3 linked regions of the Schizosaccharomyces pombe genome follow. The protein of the gene in region 1 interacts with the protein of each later gene in a pairwise test. Each region holds a gene or a part of one and is shown on either strand. Other genes may lie near its edges. The genes, in order: sec62, sad1 and man1.

Region 1 (4,111 bases):
CAAAGTGATTCTTCAAATATCGTTAAAGCCACTGAATGCCCAATTTGTGGGCTGGAATTACCAAATTTGTCAGCATTAAATGATCATCTCGATGTTACTCATTTCAATGATAATGAAAAAATCCACAAGCGACAAGATTCCATTAATTCATGGCTAACAAGGACTTTAAATGGTGCTTCAGCTCTGCAAATGAAAGCCGCTCAACGTCTTTGGAGAATGGAACCATATGAACAGAATGGGGATTCATCAGGTGCTGTCGGCCTTGAAGCAACTAAGCTCACAGATTCCTTGGTTGTCAAAAATCACTGGCAACCAGAGGTTCCTGACATGGTCTGCCATGACCCGATGTGTGATAAGCTTTTAAATTTCATCAATGGTCATATTCATTGTCGTAAATGCGGTTATATCTTCTGCAACTTTCACTCAATGTACCAGATCAAACTCAGTATTCATGCTACCTACGACTCTGAAAATGGATTTTGGTGTCGTGTTTGTCGAGAATGTTATGAAGGACGTCCTGGGTATAATGATTCAAATGGTTTAATTCGCTCACGTTTTCAAACATTCGAAACTTTTCGAAAACCTTTAGCTGATAAAAGAAGAATAGAGTTTTTAAGATTAAGCAAACGTATGAAAAAACTTGAAGAGCTATGGACATCGGAAAATGTCTCGATGCTTGATGCGCTTCTTTTGAACAAGGCTAAAAGGCTGGAGCAAAGCATCGTTCATTGGCAAGATGATTCCGTTGTACAAATTTGTCCTGAATGCAACAATTCTTTTACTCTAACTAGAAGACGCCGGCATTGTCGGCTTTGCGGACGCGTGATCTGCAGATTCTGTGTATTAGAGATTAGTCTTCCTCAACACCCGCAACCTCTCCTCATCTGTATGAGTTGCAATCAAAATTATTTCCGTAACGTTCTTTATCAAACGGAAAGATCGAAATCACTTGGCTACATCCGACATATTGAACACTTGCAAGTTTTTAGACAGGCTATGGTAAATTACTATCGACTTTACGAGGATTCTTTGTCTGAATTACTAAGTGGTGAAATAATCACTGAAGCGACCCTGAAAATAGTAAAAGATAGACGAAAAAAATTTCTTGAGCTATGTGTGAAATATGATGGAACTATGAAAAAAATCGCCAATCATCCCTCATCCAATGATGCTGAAGAACAATTTAAGCAGAATGTTGTTAATGAAGCAAAAAGATATTTACAAGAAACCATATTGCGTTTGCAGGCCATTCCTTACCATTTGCAGGTTGGCCAAGCTTGGACTTCTGAGTCTGAACGTGAGCTAGAAAAGAAGAAAGAGCAAGTTGAAAAGAAGCAAGAAGAGTTGATGCAAACAAGAATAGTTTTAGAGGAGCAAGTTTTCCTCGTTGAAAATATGATTGAAGATGCTAAAGCGAAACGAAAGTTTTCTGAGGTAGAGACTTTACTCTCCAGTCTTGCACCTTTGCATGAGGAAATTCATTCAATCACTGAAAAGATTCATGACTTGGATCTTTTTGATATTTGAGGATTTTTTCAATAAAGGAAATTTGACTTGTTTAATGATGCTGTTTCACTTTTATGTAATCAAAATTTCCTAGTTAATGTGTTGCGAAGGTTAGTCATATGATGGATGAGTGAATAATTGTATAGATAAATATTTATTGATGAAATGAATTTGAAGACTTTGCTTTCCTCGTCGAACAGCAATGAATGTTATCAATTAAGTTGAATAGGAAGAGCATCTTTTTTAGAGTTAACTTCTGAAGATTAGTATTCCTTAATCAGTGCTTTACTCTCCCTAATAATCAAATATTTTTTTCAAGTGTTATAGTATAATTAAGTTATGAATATGGGGCACAGGCACAAAAATTTAAGACTGAATTAACTTTTTGAACTATCCAACTTTACAAATTTACTTAAAGAATGAATCAATATTCGACAGCATGATAATAACAATGATTAAACTAAATGTAAAATTTATAATATAGATTTTCCCAAATCTATAATACTGAATTTTGATTTTGGCTTTACCTCGTGACCTAAATATCGTTACCTTAAAGACGTGTACAGACTTCATCTACTCCAGAACCACATTATTTTAGATTTTTCCAAACAAGGATTTTGCCTATGGATTCTTCTAATGTACCAGTTTTGAAGGATGAAGACAAGTGCAAGTTTTCGATGCGCTTTACAAACTTCCTCAAGTCTCGCCCTGAGCTGAAAACAAAGCCAGCGATCCTCAATGGAAAACGTGTATACTACTTTCGTGTGAAGCGTGTTCTTCGCTTTTTAACATCCGAAGCGTATACGCCTAAGAAATACAAAGGGTTTCCAGAAATTTCAAGCCGTGAGGAAGCAATCGAAGTTCTCAAATTGCTCATTATGAATTCGATGCTGGTTCGCGTTGATAAACTCCCCCCTAAACAAAGAAAGCAGAAGCTTGTAGAATTACAGATAAATCGTAATCAAGATTTTCAAGACGATATGCATTATGTTTGGCTCTACGAGCCTCTTCCAAAACGCGTTATGGCTTTGGCAGTACTGTTCGCTCTTGTCGTATTGGCACTCGTTTTGTTCCCCTTGTGGCCAATGTTTATGCGCAAGGGTGCTTGGTATTTAAGTATGGGAGGCCTTGGAGTAATCGGTCTATTCTTTGTTTTGGTTATTTTACGTTTTTTCTTATTTTGCATTACTGCTGTCATCGTGCGCCCTGGCATTTGGCTATTCCCCAATCTTCTTGCCGACGTTGGCTTCTGTGATAGCTTTAAACCTTTATGGAGTTGGCACAATTCCAAATCTGAGGTAAAGAAGACAAGGAAATCCAAGAAATTGTCAAAAAAAGCCACTTCACCAGCTGCTTCTGCAACTCCTGAAAAGTCTTCTACGTCCACCACTTCTTTAAAGAATTTAAGGCACAGAAATCCTACCGTCGAAGAAGTCTCTGAATAAAAATTAATTGTTGTACCGTTGATGAATCCAGTCACTCAGCCACTATTACTTACTTTAAAAAAAAATAGTGCATATCTTTACGTTATCAATTCTCCTTATACAATTTATTTCGTCTATGTTTTCGGAGAAAGGTTCTTTGAGATTCTAAATGTGTTTTCCAAGAAACCTTGGCGTTCTCATTTTATGCCCAAACGTATACATATATAATCAGTATATACTAAATGAGGACACTAAATTCTTTTGTGTTTCTTATTGTTACGCATTTTAATTACGGCAAGTTTGTCAGTCAATGAATATTTACTCTTATTGACACACAATTCTTGCTTAACCCATTTATATGAAGCGTTTTAATTTATGTACCACTCCTGGTAGGTGGTTTGATAATTCCCTTATTCTTTTAATCTCAATTTATAACACATTTGAGCGAAATTACTAGATTCTTAGCTTGCTTTTCTCCTTTTAAAGCTAGTATAGCATTTCCTCATGACACAAGGAGTGCATTCTTACTATAGTTGGCTGATCACATAGGAGTGATTATAATTACAAGTTCACTAATATTCATGGTATAAATTGTCATCATATCATATGATATTTAACTTCATATCAATAAATTTTACTTTCCATATTGAATATTTTCTCAATTCTTTAGTGTATAGTGCGTTTGCTGTATATTTCGTTAACCAGACATCGTCATTCTAAGTCAACTCCCACTACCTACTAATTGCAGGGCATTTTAAAAAAACTTGAATTTTCAAGGTATCCCTCAATCATATAGGGTAATACATATTATTTTTCGTTGATTAAGTGCATTTTATTGACGTGAAGCTTTTAAAGCCCTTGGCGTTGAGGATTTTGTAAATATTATACTAGACTCTAACACCACAATGTCCAACGTTACTGAAAATAAACATGACTTACACGAAAACGGGGTACCAGATTCTGCTCAGCCAATGGAATTGGATGTTTCTAAAAAGGAGGACACTGAACCAGAAGTCAGAGACGAGGCCAAAGAATTTTTGTTGAGCCAGTTACCACAAGTAGAAGTCCCTGAGTGGGCGCAATGGTTTGATTTCTCTAAAGTTCACGAAATTGAGAAAAAACAAAACCCTGAGTTCTTTGATGGAAAAAATACGTCGAAAACACCAGAGGTATATAAGGAA
Region 2 (5,536 bases), on another chromosome or scaffold:
AACTAAAATTCTGCAACACAAACTACCTGTGCACTATTTGCAGCATAGGGACAATTAACAAATTCAATAATTTTGATTTACGAAGGATGTCTTTCACGTTTGAAAGCATTATGTAAATTTATCGACTGCATTAAAAAATATAACAATTTGGTTGACTACACTGTATTTAATGATAGTGCAGTTTAATCATTGAGAAAGCCCGGTCAGTTTGTTTACCACTGTATAACTAACAGTTTAAAAGCCCTTAAAAAAAGACAACTTAATGAAACTAGATACTTAAATTACTAAAAGCTGTAAGGGAATTGAAGTTTCAACTGTCTTTGTGCTTCAATTGCAGTGTAAAAAGTTACGCTGTTTTAGCAAAGCACAAAAGACAAATTTTGCAATACTCAAAGCTATTTAACTATAAATTTTTTAAATTTTGAAAATGTTAATAAGTATATCTATTTGCATTTACGAAATTGCCTATTTTAAATCGGTAAAGACCAAAACCCTTTTTAGAAACGTATTAAAGATATGTTAGGAAGGCTGGCAAGTGATTCAATTGCATGACCAAGGCTGGATTAAGACAACACGTATTGCTAAAATACTTGTATCTAATTATGAAATTTCCACAATACTATCTGAACTAATAACGAGTATTGTTTACTTCTTGTTTGCTCCAACAACGAACTAGAAATACCGAAATAGGGGTCGTCAAGAAGTTTCTATTTTAATAATTATCAATAATGCACTTAAATACTTGGACCTAAATGAATAATAATATATATGAAGGCTGATATATGTATAACGATAAAGAACGAGCGGATGGCTGGATACTTATTTTCTCGTCAGCGTGACGCATTTTAAACATCGCTATAGTAGTCATCTAAAGTTATATATACATATTAAAAGTACACTTGCAACCAAATGTACTTTTTCAGAGATTTCTTTTGGCCAAACAAACTAATGCTCTAAATTGAGTAAACACGAAAAAGAATTGGATTTATAGTGCACCTTTCATTCTAGTACCGCAGTGTTACAGAATTATATCACGCAGTATGAAGAAGCGCACTACTCAAGCGAAAAAATCAGGGCAAAACACTAATATTCGCGACGTGTTTCCACATGTAGTTCGAAGTAATTCAAGTCAATCCCACATAGGGAAGAAAGTGAGTTCTGAACAGTCGCCTACACCCGATGTTACAATTACAACCAAAACCTTGGATGAGAGAATTAAAGAAGACGATGAGCTTTCAAAAGAGGTAGAAGAGGCTTGGAATCAAATTATGGCTGAAAGGATTAGTGAACCAATACATTGTGAAAATATAACCAAAGTAGAGTTCATTTTGCATCACTTTGACACTACGGCAAGATATGGACCATATCTTGGTATGACAAGGATGCAACGCTGGAAACGTGCAAAAAACTTCAATTTAAATCCTCCAGAAACAGTGGGAAAGATATTGATGCTCGAGGAAGCAGATGAGGAAAATCGAAAAAGAGAATCGCTCTTTTATGATCTTCAAACCATTCCAGGCTAGATTATTTTTATATCTTACATTTTGTAGGTCTTTAAGATGAATCTTGACCCGTATTCTCTGCAGTACTTTCGGCTTTCTCACCTAAAGAAGGTATTGGTTGTTCGTCTGCATTGGGTACAGTCCCATGAACTCGAACTTGATACAAGCATGTGTAATTGGGATTTCCCCAGTTGCTTTTTATTTTTAAGATCACATTCTGTATCGGTTCAGCGACAATATAATTGGAGGATTCAAACGAAAAAGTTTGAATAGAGTCTTCCGTTAAAGAATATCTCGCCTTTCCCAACAATACAAACATCTTGCTGGACATTCCCTGAACCCACAACTCAAAGTCCTTGGGAGCGCTAGAAAGATCATGAGCAATCTTGTGCTGAACGTGCTCTATTGTGACATTGGTTACATATACAGGGCGTGATAGGGAAATTCCTAATTGTCCCTCTGAACCTTGAAAGCTCCAACACATCGCAACTGCGTTGTTGGGAGTTAATGCTATGCTAGGTTCGTGTCCTCTAACAACGAGCGAATCAAAGAAATAGGAGGTAAATCGTGGTATGAATGCAGATGGTCGTCTCACATAGCGTTTTGAGGTTAAGGCAGGTAGTACTTCCGCTCCTGTTGAGAGCAATGCAAAATTCGGCATGGAAACCGGATCGGTCAAGTATTTTCGAACCGTAGATTCGATGAAGAACTTCCAATCGTCATTTAGTTCAACTTCAAATGGGACCGATGATTTGTAATTAGACATCTCCTCCTTTAGCGACTGTTTTAATTGCTCTACTTTTTGTTGTAAAATCTTGTCAAATTCCTTTTTTGTAATTAAATCTCCCGTCGAATAATCGAATTCCTCATTGCCGCCAACTTTAGAAGGTGAATCTGTGAAGTCTTTAATAATATCTGGCTTTAAACTTGTTTTGGTGTCATTGGATGCAGGAGGAATGTTTGGTACGGGCGAATTAGATGGTTGGGAATTATCTGATGAAAATGATCTTGAGTAAAATTCTTGACCCTTGTGAAGTAGAGTAATTATTAGGAGAGTCGAAAAGAGAGTGATACCGAACCAAAGTAATGGTTTAAATTTTGAGGAATAAAATTGAGATTTCCTTGTAGATCTTTGATTCATCGGGTACCTAAAACTGGCATTTGTTGCGGTGGTATCCTCGTTCAAGCTATACCCTTCATCATCACTTTCCTCGTCGATGCTGTTTTCGTATTCTTCATTGACAAACTCTTCATCATCTCCATCTGATTCATAGAATACATTCGTCGAAGCTTCGTGTCCATTTTTCACTACGTTTTCAAATTCTTCGTTATCAGATTCCTCTTGCTCGTATCGAATATTAGAGTGGTAAGCCTGTTCGAAATTGGGAGCTGGAAATCTTTGTTTAGGAGTAATTGATTCAATGGACACCCTGGTAGGAGGGGACCTTATCTTTGTATAGCGAAGTTTATGCATTTTGGAGGCCAAATCAGCCGTATTTTGATGAATCTGAGCAGAGTTCGCTCCTAACGTCGACCAAGCTGGATGAGCGCCATTTTGACGCTCTCTTTTCCCTCCAACCGGTGTATTAGTAAACATTGATGTATAAAAGGCTATTTGAAAATTAAAAGAAAAATATACAAACGAATCAGTGATAAATAAATATGTAAAAAGAGAGACAAAAATTGAAAAGAGAGTATTGGAAGGCGAGAATTTGAATTAGTGTTCGTATTCAAAAAAGTGAAGCTTAAGTAGGATTCTGTAATTGAATGCCTTTTTGATCGCTTTATGCGAATGTATAAATTATTAATAACAGACGAATTATCGTTGACGCCTTTTTTATGTGAAAACAGATACCTATACACACAATGTATGTAATTGATCCTACCCTAGCAGAGTATACCTTTCTTGAGGTATCATTCCAATTCCAATACTGGAAAATTCCTTCACAAACAATAAAGGATACAATACCAAGATAAACACACTAGAAATGGACGGTACGAAGATTGACTGCTGAGAAAGAGTTTTGTTGTGTTTACGGTAAGTGTATACACTAAGAATTTACTACGTTATATATCGCTGACAATCGATAAATATTCATAACATAATATATGGAAATAAAGCGAGAAATATTTGATGAATAAAAATGGTAGACTGTTAATACAAGAGGGTTTGAACGCTGATGAATTAAGTACTTGAAGCTGATAGGATCCAAATCCAGCAATTCGCGTGTTTATATAAAAAACAGGTTTGGTAATTTAGGAGTTTTCGTGAGAGCATGGCAAAACTGTTCAGTGAAGTGAGAAGTTTGATGGATTCAAGTAATAAAGCAGCCTTATAAAATAGCAAGTTCCATACCTATTAATATTTTTACCACTATTAATATTACTTCGTTTGCATTTAGATTTCCAATTTTTAAAGAAAAAGAACAAGAAACCGATCATATGCTACCAAATTTATTTGAAAAATCAAAAGTATTCAGTATCGTTTCACTTTTAATCAGTTAAGTAAACAGATTTGGCATTTTGCTGTAGTAGTAGTTCAACGACTTCAATTTCTAGGCATTGAAAAAACGTTTTTGCGTTTGTTAGGGATACATTTCATCGACACGAGAATCTACGCCAATGATTTTCAAAAGCAAATTTCAACAATGATCAATTGAGTAAATAAACATTTAATAAACCTTTAATAAACCTTTCTACTGTTTAATACAACATTGCCGCTGAATATTATACTTTATAGTTCGTCAAAGTAGGATTTTCGCTTTTCATCATATAGCCAATGAAATTCGGGCATTCAGTCGCTTTCAAATTGCTTGAATATTGTGCCGATTGCGAAGGTAGCAGCAATACGCAACCATAAATTGTCTAACTAACTGCTTGTTTTTGCATACTTAGGATCCCATTTTACTGCGACACTGATACGGTCCTGTCAAAAAAAAATGAAACGAAAAATTTTCATGTTTTGAGCTTATTCATCGCTTGGTTTCACTACATTCAACAGAAACTGCACAATGTTGTATATAAGGAATCAAAGACAAGCTATGCGTAACTTTGAAAACGTCAGTATTTCAACAAGGACGAAATTTATGGCACGTTTAACTTCCAATTAGCCCGTATTGTTTTTTTGGCTAGCGAAAGTAATGAATTGAGGCAATGTCGAGTAGTATTGCACAACCTAGTATTTGATCCTGTGCGCTACATAATGAATCCTAATAAATAAAACCTCAATAATCAATCTGCTCAACCAACCGTCAAAAAAGGTTCAATCATTTCAATTACTCAACGTGGCGCCAAGTATGTCTCATGATTGTGTATTCATCTCACGACTTCATTTCATTTCTGTACCTTATACACTCACTCAGCTACTTCAGGACTAGGTGTTGCGACACAAACGAGAAACCATGCGCTGGACATCATTCATGGGCCGAAACCGATGTTAGCTTATTGAGCAACCCTAAAATCCGGGAAAACTTGTGATCCATCAAAGTAGATAGAGCTGACAATGTGGAATAACTCATATGAAAATTCAGACATTGTTTGCCGTTTACGATATCTCTCGCTATGTGGAATTGATCCGTTCGGTAAGTAAAGCAGTGCAACGTGAATAGCAAATTATCACCTGTGGGTGGTGAGTAAATAAACAAACGCCTAAGAATGAAAAAAATTTTTGCAGGTGGTTCAAGTCAGGATGCTATAATGCAACATCTTGTGAATCAACGTCGCATATCGTAATGGCTACAGCAAGGAAATCCCGGAGGAGATAGTTTTATTAACCAACGTGTCGGACCGCAATATTAACGCCGAAGAGCAGTTGTATGAGTATGTTCCTAAACGGTAATAGTAAAATTACTTTATTCACCGATTTGTAACAAAGCACACTAGTTATGGTAGGTTCACGAGCCGCTATTAGGTTACAAGCTACTGTCAGGTTAGAGCCATTGTAAGGTTATAAGTTACAGTTGGGTTAGAGCTTGTTGTAAGGTTAAAACCAGTGAACCATAGTGTAGTAAGAGATGTTAATATGTTAGAGCCAT
Region 3 (5,722 bases), 1.6 Mb from region 1:
ACGTTGTGGCGTTATAGTGTCATCGTTAGTCGTTGAATAGTTCTTATAGTGAAATTGGGTATAATATTCGAAAAAAAATTAGCAAACTCGCTATTTTATGCTATTTATTAATTCTTTCTGTTCTTACTGTGAAAGATATTTCTTATATTCCACTTACGTTTGAACTGAGGCTCTTGCTGTATTTTAACTTACGGCTTGCAGTATCAATATAACTATTGCTACTAGAAATTACCTTTAGTCTACGTATTCCATTGAAGCTCTCCGAACGCATCATCTATAGGAAGTTTATTTCTTTTGGAACGGCAAATTTGCCAACTTCTTGTCTGTGAACATATTTTTGTGATTGTATTCTTTCTTCTCAATTCCTTTATTTCATGCTAAGTTGAGCTATTTGATTTCATTTTAGAGCATATACCGGTACATAACTTATTAAATTCTGATTCCATAACAGGAGTGGAATTGATTTACTAATTCTCGGAGTACATTTATTGTAAATTTGAGCATCTCTATTATTTTGGCTTATTTTAGTTAATTATTGACTGTAAACCAACAACATGACTACATTACTGGAAACACCTGGATATAGTGAAAAACTTCATGATTCGATTGAAAAAAAACTTTCTGAATATGGGTGGGGAGAAGAGGCTGCTTCTCTGGCCGATTTTGTTCTTGTGATGCTTAGCAATGGAAAAACACAAACTGAAATTAATGAAGAACTAGTTGATTTAATAGGGTCCGATTTTGATACTAGCTTCTCACTTTGGTTATTTAATCAAATTGAAGAGCTTGAAAAATCAAAAAATGCTTCAGTTGAGTCAGTCAGCAAGATCGACGAAATCGATTTTATCGAGAAGGAGTCAACTGACAAGTCGCAGCAATCTTTCTCTGTGCCGGAAACTAGCATACAACCTCAATCTTCTCAAACTCCTAATATAACTTCGTTACGTGAAGAGAAGGAGCTACCTACTGGGCGTGTCGGACAAAAGCTCAAACTTACATCTCAGAAACAGCGATTCAATCCCATGGCAGCTTCGTTTAACTACTCGAAATCCGTTATGCCTGCTGCCAAGCGTGCTCTCACTCAAACCCAAGAGGTCCCTTTGTGCAAATATGCCGATAAGTGCTCCCGTGCTAACGTATGTATTAATATCAGATAATTTGTTAAAACTAACTCTTTAGTGTATATTTGCTCATCCGACACCAGCCGCAGCCCCAGGAGAAGGTATGGTCCTGAGCAGTGAAATGTGTGCTTCTGGTAAAGAATGCAAAGCTGCTGATGTAAGTACCATAATAATTTAAATCTAACTATTACTAACGTATACAGTGTGTCAAGGGACATCCATCTCCAGCTACGGTTACTACATTACCACCTTTCATGTCCATGTCAACCATTCCAATTCCTTGTAAATATAAACCGTGTTTGAATCCAGCTTGTCGTTTTATCCACCCGACGAAAAGCAGAAATATGACATGGCGGCCACCCTCTAAAACAGAAGAGACGTCCCTGAGTGAACGTTCGTTTGCTGTTAACGAGTCAGAAGAACAACTTCATGTTCCTTCTGTGTAAATTTAGAGAATTATGATACTATTTCGTGTTCGTATAATTGGCACATATCTACTTTTGATAGTCAAGCCAGGATACTTCGTTTAAGAACATACCTTCTAGAGTTTGCAAACTTGATATTTATTTTATTGTATAGATTGCTAAAACGATAAAGTTTTATTTGTCGCTACGTTTGCTGCAATCGGCAATTATCAAGTCGCTAAATTGATTTAAAAAATTTGTTTTCGTTATATTGATGTCTTTTTAGTGAATGAAAATTTTATTTTGATGTGAATTATGCAAATAATGATTTATTTACTTCTTCGGTTAAGTTAATATTATACATATTCAAATACCCACGTTTGTTGACATTCATTACTAAATACATCTTATGTTACTTGTTGGTTACTTGGCTTACACCATGTTGTTGACAACAATCACTTGGTATTTACATTCGCCAGTTTTACGTCTATACACATACCCTTTAGTTAAAAGGTTTTTTTTAATTGAATGGAGGTCCCTTCTTATTTTGACCCCGATTATGATCCTTCGTCTCTTCGAGTAGTAGATTTGCGTAATATATTAACTGAATATCAAATATACTATCCGTCAACGGCGAAGAAAGCGCAGTTAATCACGCTTTTCAGTAAACTACGAAGGGCAAAAAATGGCTTGATCTCTATGACAGAATTGCAGCAAAAGAACGTTCCTCCGTCTTCTCGTAGTCCTCGTAGAAGGGTGGCAGGGGTTACGAATAATGTTACTGCTCGAATTAGCTCTAAGAGAAAAATAAATATGGTTGACGAGGCTAATGATACAGAAATTTCTAAAACTTCACAATTTGAAGATAATGTGATGGGGATGTTACAGGACGAGAACGTTCAAGTTTTGAATACTAACACGATAACCATTTCAGAAGAATCTGAATTTCATGCCTCAAAGATTGCCAAAATAGATTCGCGAAACGAAGAAATAACACATATACCATTTGAGACGCAAACTGAGCTTAATGCGGCAGTTGTAAACCTCGACAACTCAATGGAATCGTCTTTTTCAATTGTCCAGAATTTAACAAACAAGGATTCTTCTGTAGACACCGCTACTTACGATTTTTCTGCAGAAGTTGGTAATATCGTAACACCTGCTTCAAAGTTTTTAGACTATGATCAAAGCTATCTTGTTAATGCCTCCGTGTCGGGTGATCCAACGCCAGTAAAGGTATTGAACACGACGTCTCCAAAAAGCGAAAATCCATTGAACCAAAGTTCTTTTCTCAGTTTCTTAGGCGAAAACCTAAAGCCTAAGTTTACCTCCCGTTCGTCAAGCGTTTACGCTTCTCCTATCAAGTCGTCGTTGAATTCGCTTGAATGTAATCCAAGTAACCTTCTTTCAGTCAGAAAAAATTTTCAACAAAGTTCCGACTCTTATCTCAAATCAAACAAGTCATTTGACCAACTCAACAATTTGGTTGGCTTGTCTACTGGTAATTCGGAGAACTTCACTCCAGAAAATAACAGTTTTTCATGGACTCATCCCAAAAAGAATTCATCATCACCCCTTCCTCAATCTCAATCTTCCTCAATTTTTGTAGAACACCTAAATCAGCTGTACGAAGCAAATGCATCAATTCATCGTCCTGTCAACCCTGCGTTTTCTACAAATTTTGGGTTAGAAGCATCTAATACATCGACGCCAGAGAAGAAAAAATTTGATTCCCAAAAACCCGACGATGATTCGGTTAATGAGATTTCTTCTGATCTCGGTCTTAGTACTACGGGTATTGATCGCGTGGAGGAAAATATTTCCTTGACTAAGGATAGGCAACCTAAAAGGCCATACTTTAGTCTTGGTTCATTCATTTCTTTAATTTTCTCTTTTACCAAAGTGGTAAATTCCTTATGGCTTGTATTGCTTGTCGTACCTCTCTTGGGATTTGTAGGCTTTTGGCATCAAGAAGTACAGCGCGTTGGCTTCTGTGGAGTTCCTGCCGAACCTTATCCTTCTAGTCTATATTATCTCCAACCAGGAGTTTTACGTTCCTCTATTGAGTCTGCATATTCATTTGCTCACTCTTTAGGAATTGAAGCCTCTTGTCAACCTTGTCCTGAGAACGCTGAATGTGGTTTCAATCGTCAGTTATTTTGCAAAGAAGGATTAAAGGCTTCGTTTCCTTTACTTGCAGATTTCGGCTTAAAACCATACCCACGATGTATTCCGAATACCGTGAAGGTTAATAAGGTTGAAGAGATGGTGCAGGCATTTATGTCTATTATCGGAAAGTGGTACTATAAAGCCCCTAAAGAATTTGCCACTTTTGAAAGTGCAAAGAATTTAAACGGAAAATCATTTGTTGACAATTTTAAGGATCGATATTACATGTATAAGCAGGACATCGATAATGTAGTCGGACTTAAAGATTTTAAAGTATATCTGAAGACTACTTTAAACCGTCTATATAATTCAAAGCTGACAAGAAAAGTACTATATTACTTATTTTCTCCACTATTTACTCTTGAGCTATGGAAGCTCCGAGTACGTGGGGCATTGAGTAAATTTCCGACTAATTGTTTGCGATCTGTCTACTCTCATACAGTTTCCTTAATGAAGTATTTGACTTCAGCAGTTATATCCTGTTGGCGAATTTACTTGTTGATTGGTATATTGGCAGCTATTACCGGTACCGTTGTATGGCGAATAAGAGTCTATGCCAAGAAGCATGTAGTAAAGCATGGAGTCTCCGTATGCGTTTCACATTGTATTGCTAAGCTACAAAAAACCAAGCTAAAGTCCTTGACAGATTTTTCTGTCAATCCTCGTGTAGAAGTCGTGCAGCTACGTTCTGACTGTTTTGTATCTGGAGTCGCAGATGACAAGGGCCTTTTTGAACTTGTACATCTCCCTTTGTCAATTCAATTAGAAATATGGGAAAAGGTGGTTTCAGTCCTTGAAGGAATGGTAAGCGTAAAGGTATGGGACAGTGAGCGCTTGGCAAAAAATCGTGCTTGGGAATGGATCGGGGTTTTTTCAGATGACATTGCCTTATAAAATACGGTTAGATATATAAAAAATGACCTTAAGGTCAAACTTTATGAATGTCGTTTGGCATGATGATTTATGAATCTAGATACGAGTGCAGCATCAGTAGGTACTATTATGTCAACATTATTTTCCTCACGTTAATATAATTATTTTTTAGTTATTGCACTTTGTTAAGCACAGGAGCTTATAGATTGAAACACTATCGAAAAATTTAATCAACAGATTCGAAAATTTCATTAATTTAACATTGGTTTTTCTAATTAAAAAAAGAATATCAAATTTAGACCCGAACCGTTTGCATTAGCTGTCTAAAAGAGCATTTCAAATTAGCATTTGGCATCCGGCCTCAATGAAAATAAAGAGTTCCATGTGACAGTTCTTATTTTGAAGGGTTCTGGCATGTTTGTAAAAATTCAATGCCTCGACGGTATTGAACGGTACAGTCTAAAACAGGTCTAATACACTTTTAGAGTTCTAGGACTAAAAATGAACGATAAACAAGGGCCATAAAATGCTCCAAATCAAACAAAAGCCAAACTCGCAAATTGAATTATCTTTATTGCAATATAACTCTAAATACGCAGAAATATGAAATTTATAGAATATGAAATTAAAATAGAATCTGGGAAACTCAACAAAGAAATAATTAACACGTTTAGTATAAGATAAAATAGTAAAGACAAATAAGAAAGATTAATGCAATGCACTTGCTACGAGATTTCGTAAAGCTTTACAAAGTAGTTCAACATCGCCAGAGTAACGACCGGAAGCATAGAAAAACTTTTCGTCCGAATAAACCCAGTGAGCAGTTTTGGGCCCTGGTACGTATTTCGATTCAGGAATATAAGTATAAGTATAAGCCGGAGGATTAGATGCGCCAAATAAATAAGACGCTCTTTCCATATAAAGTGGAGTCGTAGTCGATTTAATCTCAAGATTGGGAGCAGCCCGCTGAACAGCGATTGCTCCTTGAGCCATTGTTGCTAAAACGCGGGTGCCACTAACACGGGCACATAAAGGTATATAGTCAGCTAACAATGAACTGAGACGAGGAGACTCTACAAGTTCTAAAACAGCGGGATCCTGCCCTCCTGGCACATAAACCAAGTCAAAGTTTTCAAAGGTAAAGCTCATATCAGA

Evidence for each region.
Region 2: the proteins of sec62 (region 1) and sad1 interact in a two-hybrid assay, tested with the Schizosaccharomyces pombe proteins (2 studies listed by BioGRID).
Region 3: the proteins of sec62 (region 1) and man1 interact in a two-hybrid assay, tested with the Schizosaccharomyces pombe proteins (2 studies listed by BioGRID).

The regions. Positions count from the first base shown.
Region 1 is NC_003424.3:3,601,963-3,606,073, forward strand, and holds sec62 (translocation subcomplex subunit Sec62), read left to right. Parts: upstream 1-2,112; 5' UTR 2,113-2,129; coding exon 2,130-2,951; 3' UTR 2,952-3,583; downstream 3,584-4,111. Other genes in the region: FYVE tethering component Pep7, read left to right, coding at 1-1,527; SWI/SNF and RSC complex subunit Ssr1, read left to right, coding at 3,836-4,111. UniProt on the Schizosaccharomyces pombe protein: Acts as a component of the Sec62/63 complex which is involved in SRP-independent post-translational translocation across the endoplasmic reticulum (ER) and functions together with the Sec61 complex and bip1 in a channel-forming translocon complex.
Region 2 is NC_003423.3:2,301,745-2,307,280, reverse strand, and holds sad1 (protein Sad1), read right to left. Parts: upstream 3,516-5,536; 5' UTR 3,100-3,515; coding exon 1,555-3,099; 3' UTR 1,524-1,554; coding exon of another isoform or gene 1,041-1,523; 3' UTR 620-1,040; downstream 1-619. Other genes in the region: DNA polymerase delta subunit Cdm1, read left to right, coding at 1,041-1,523.
Region 3 is NC_003424.3:5,234,650-5,240,371, reverse strand, and holds man1 (LEM domain-containing protein Man1), read left to right. Parts: upstream 1-1,993; 5' UTR 1,994-2,053; coding exon 2,054-4,588; 3' UTR 4,589-5,216; downstream 5,217-5,722. Other genes in the region: poly(A)-binding protein Nab2, read left to right, coding at 555-1,136, 1,180-1,278, 1,325-1,567; SPOM_SPAC14C4.04 (uncharacterized protein), read right to left, coding at 5,276-5,722. UniProt on the Schizosaccharomyces pombe protein: Required for correct meiotic chromosome segregation.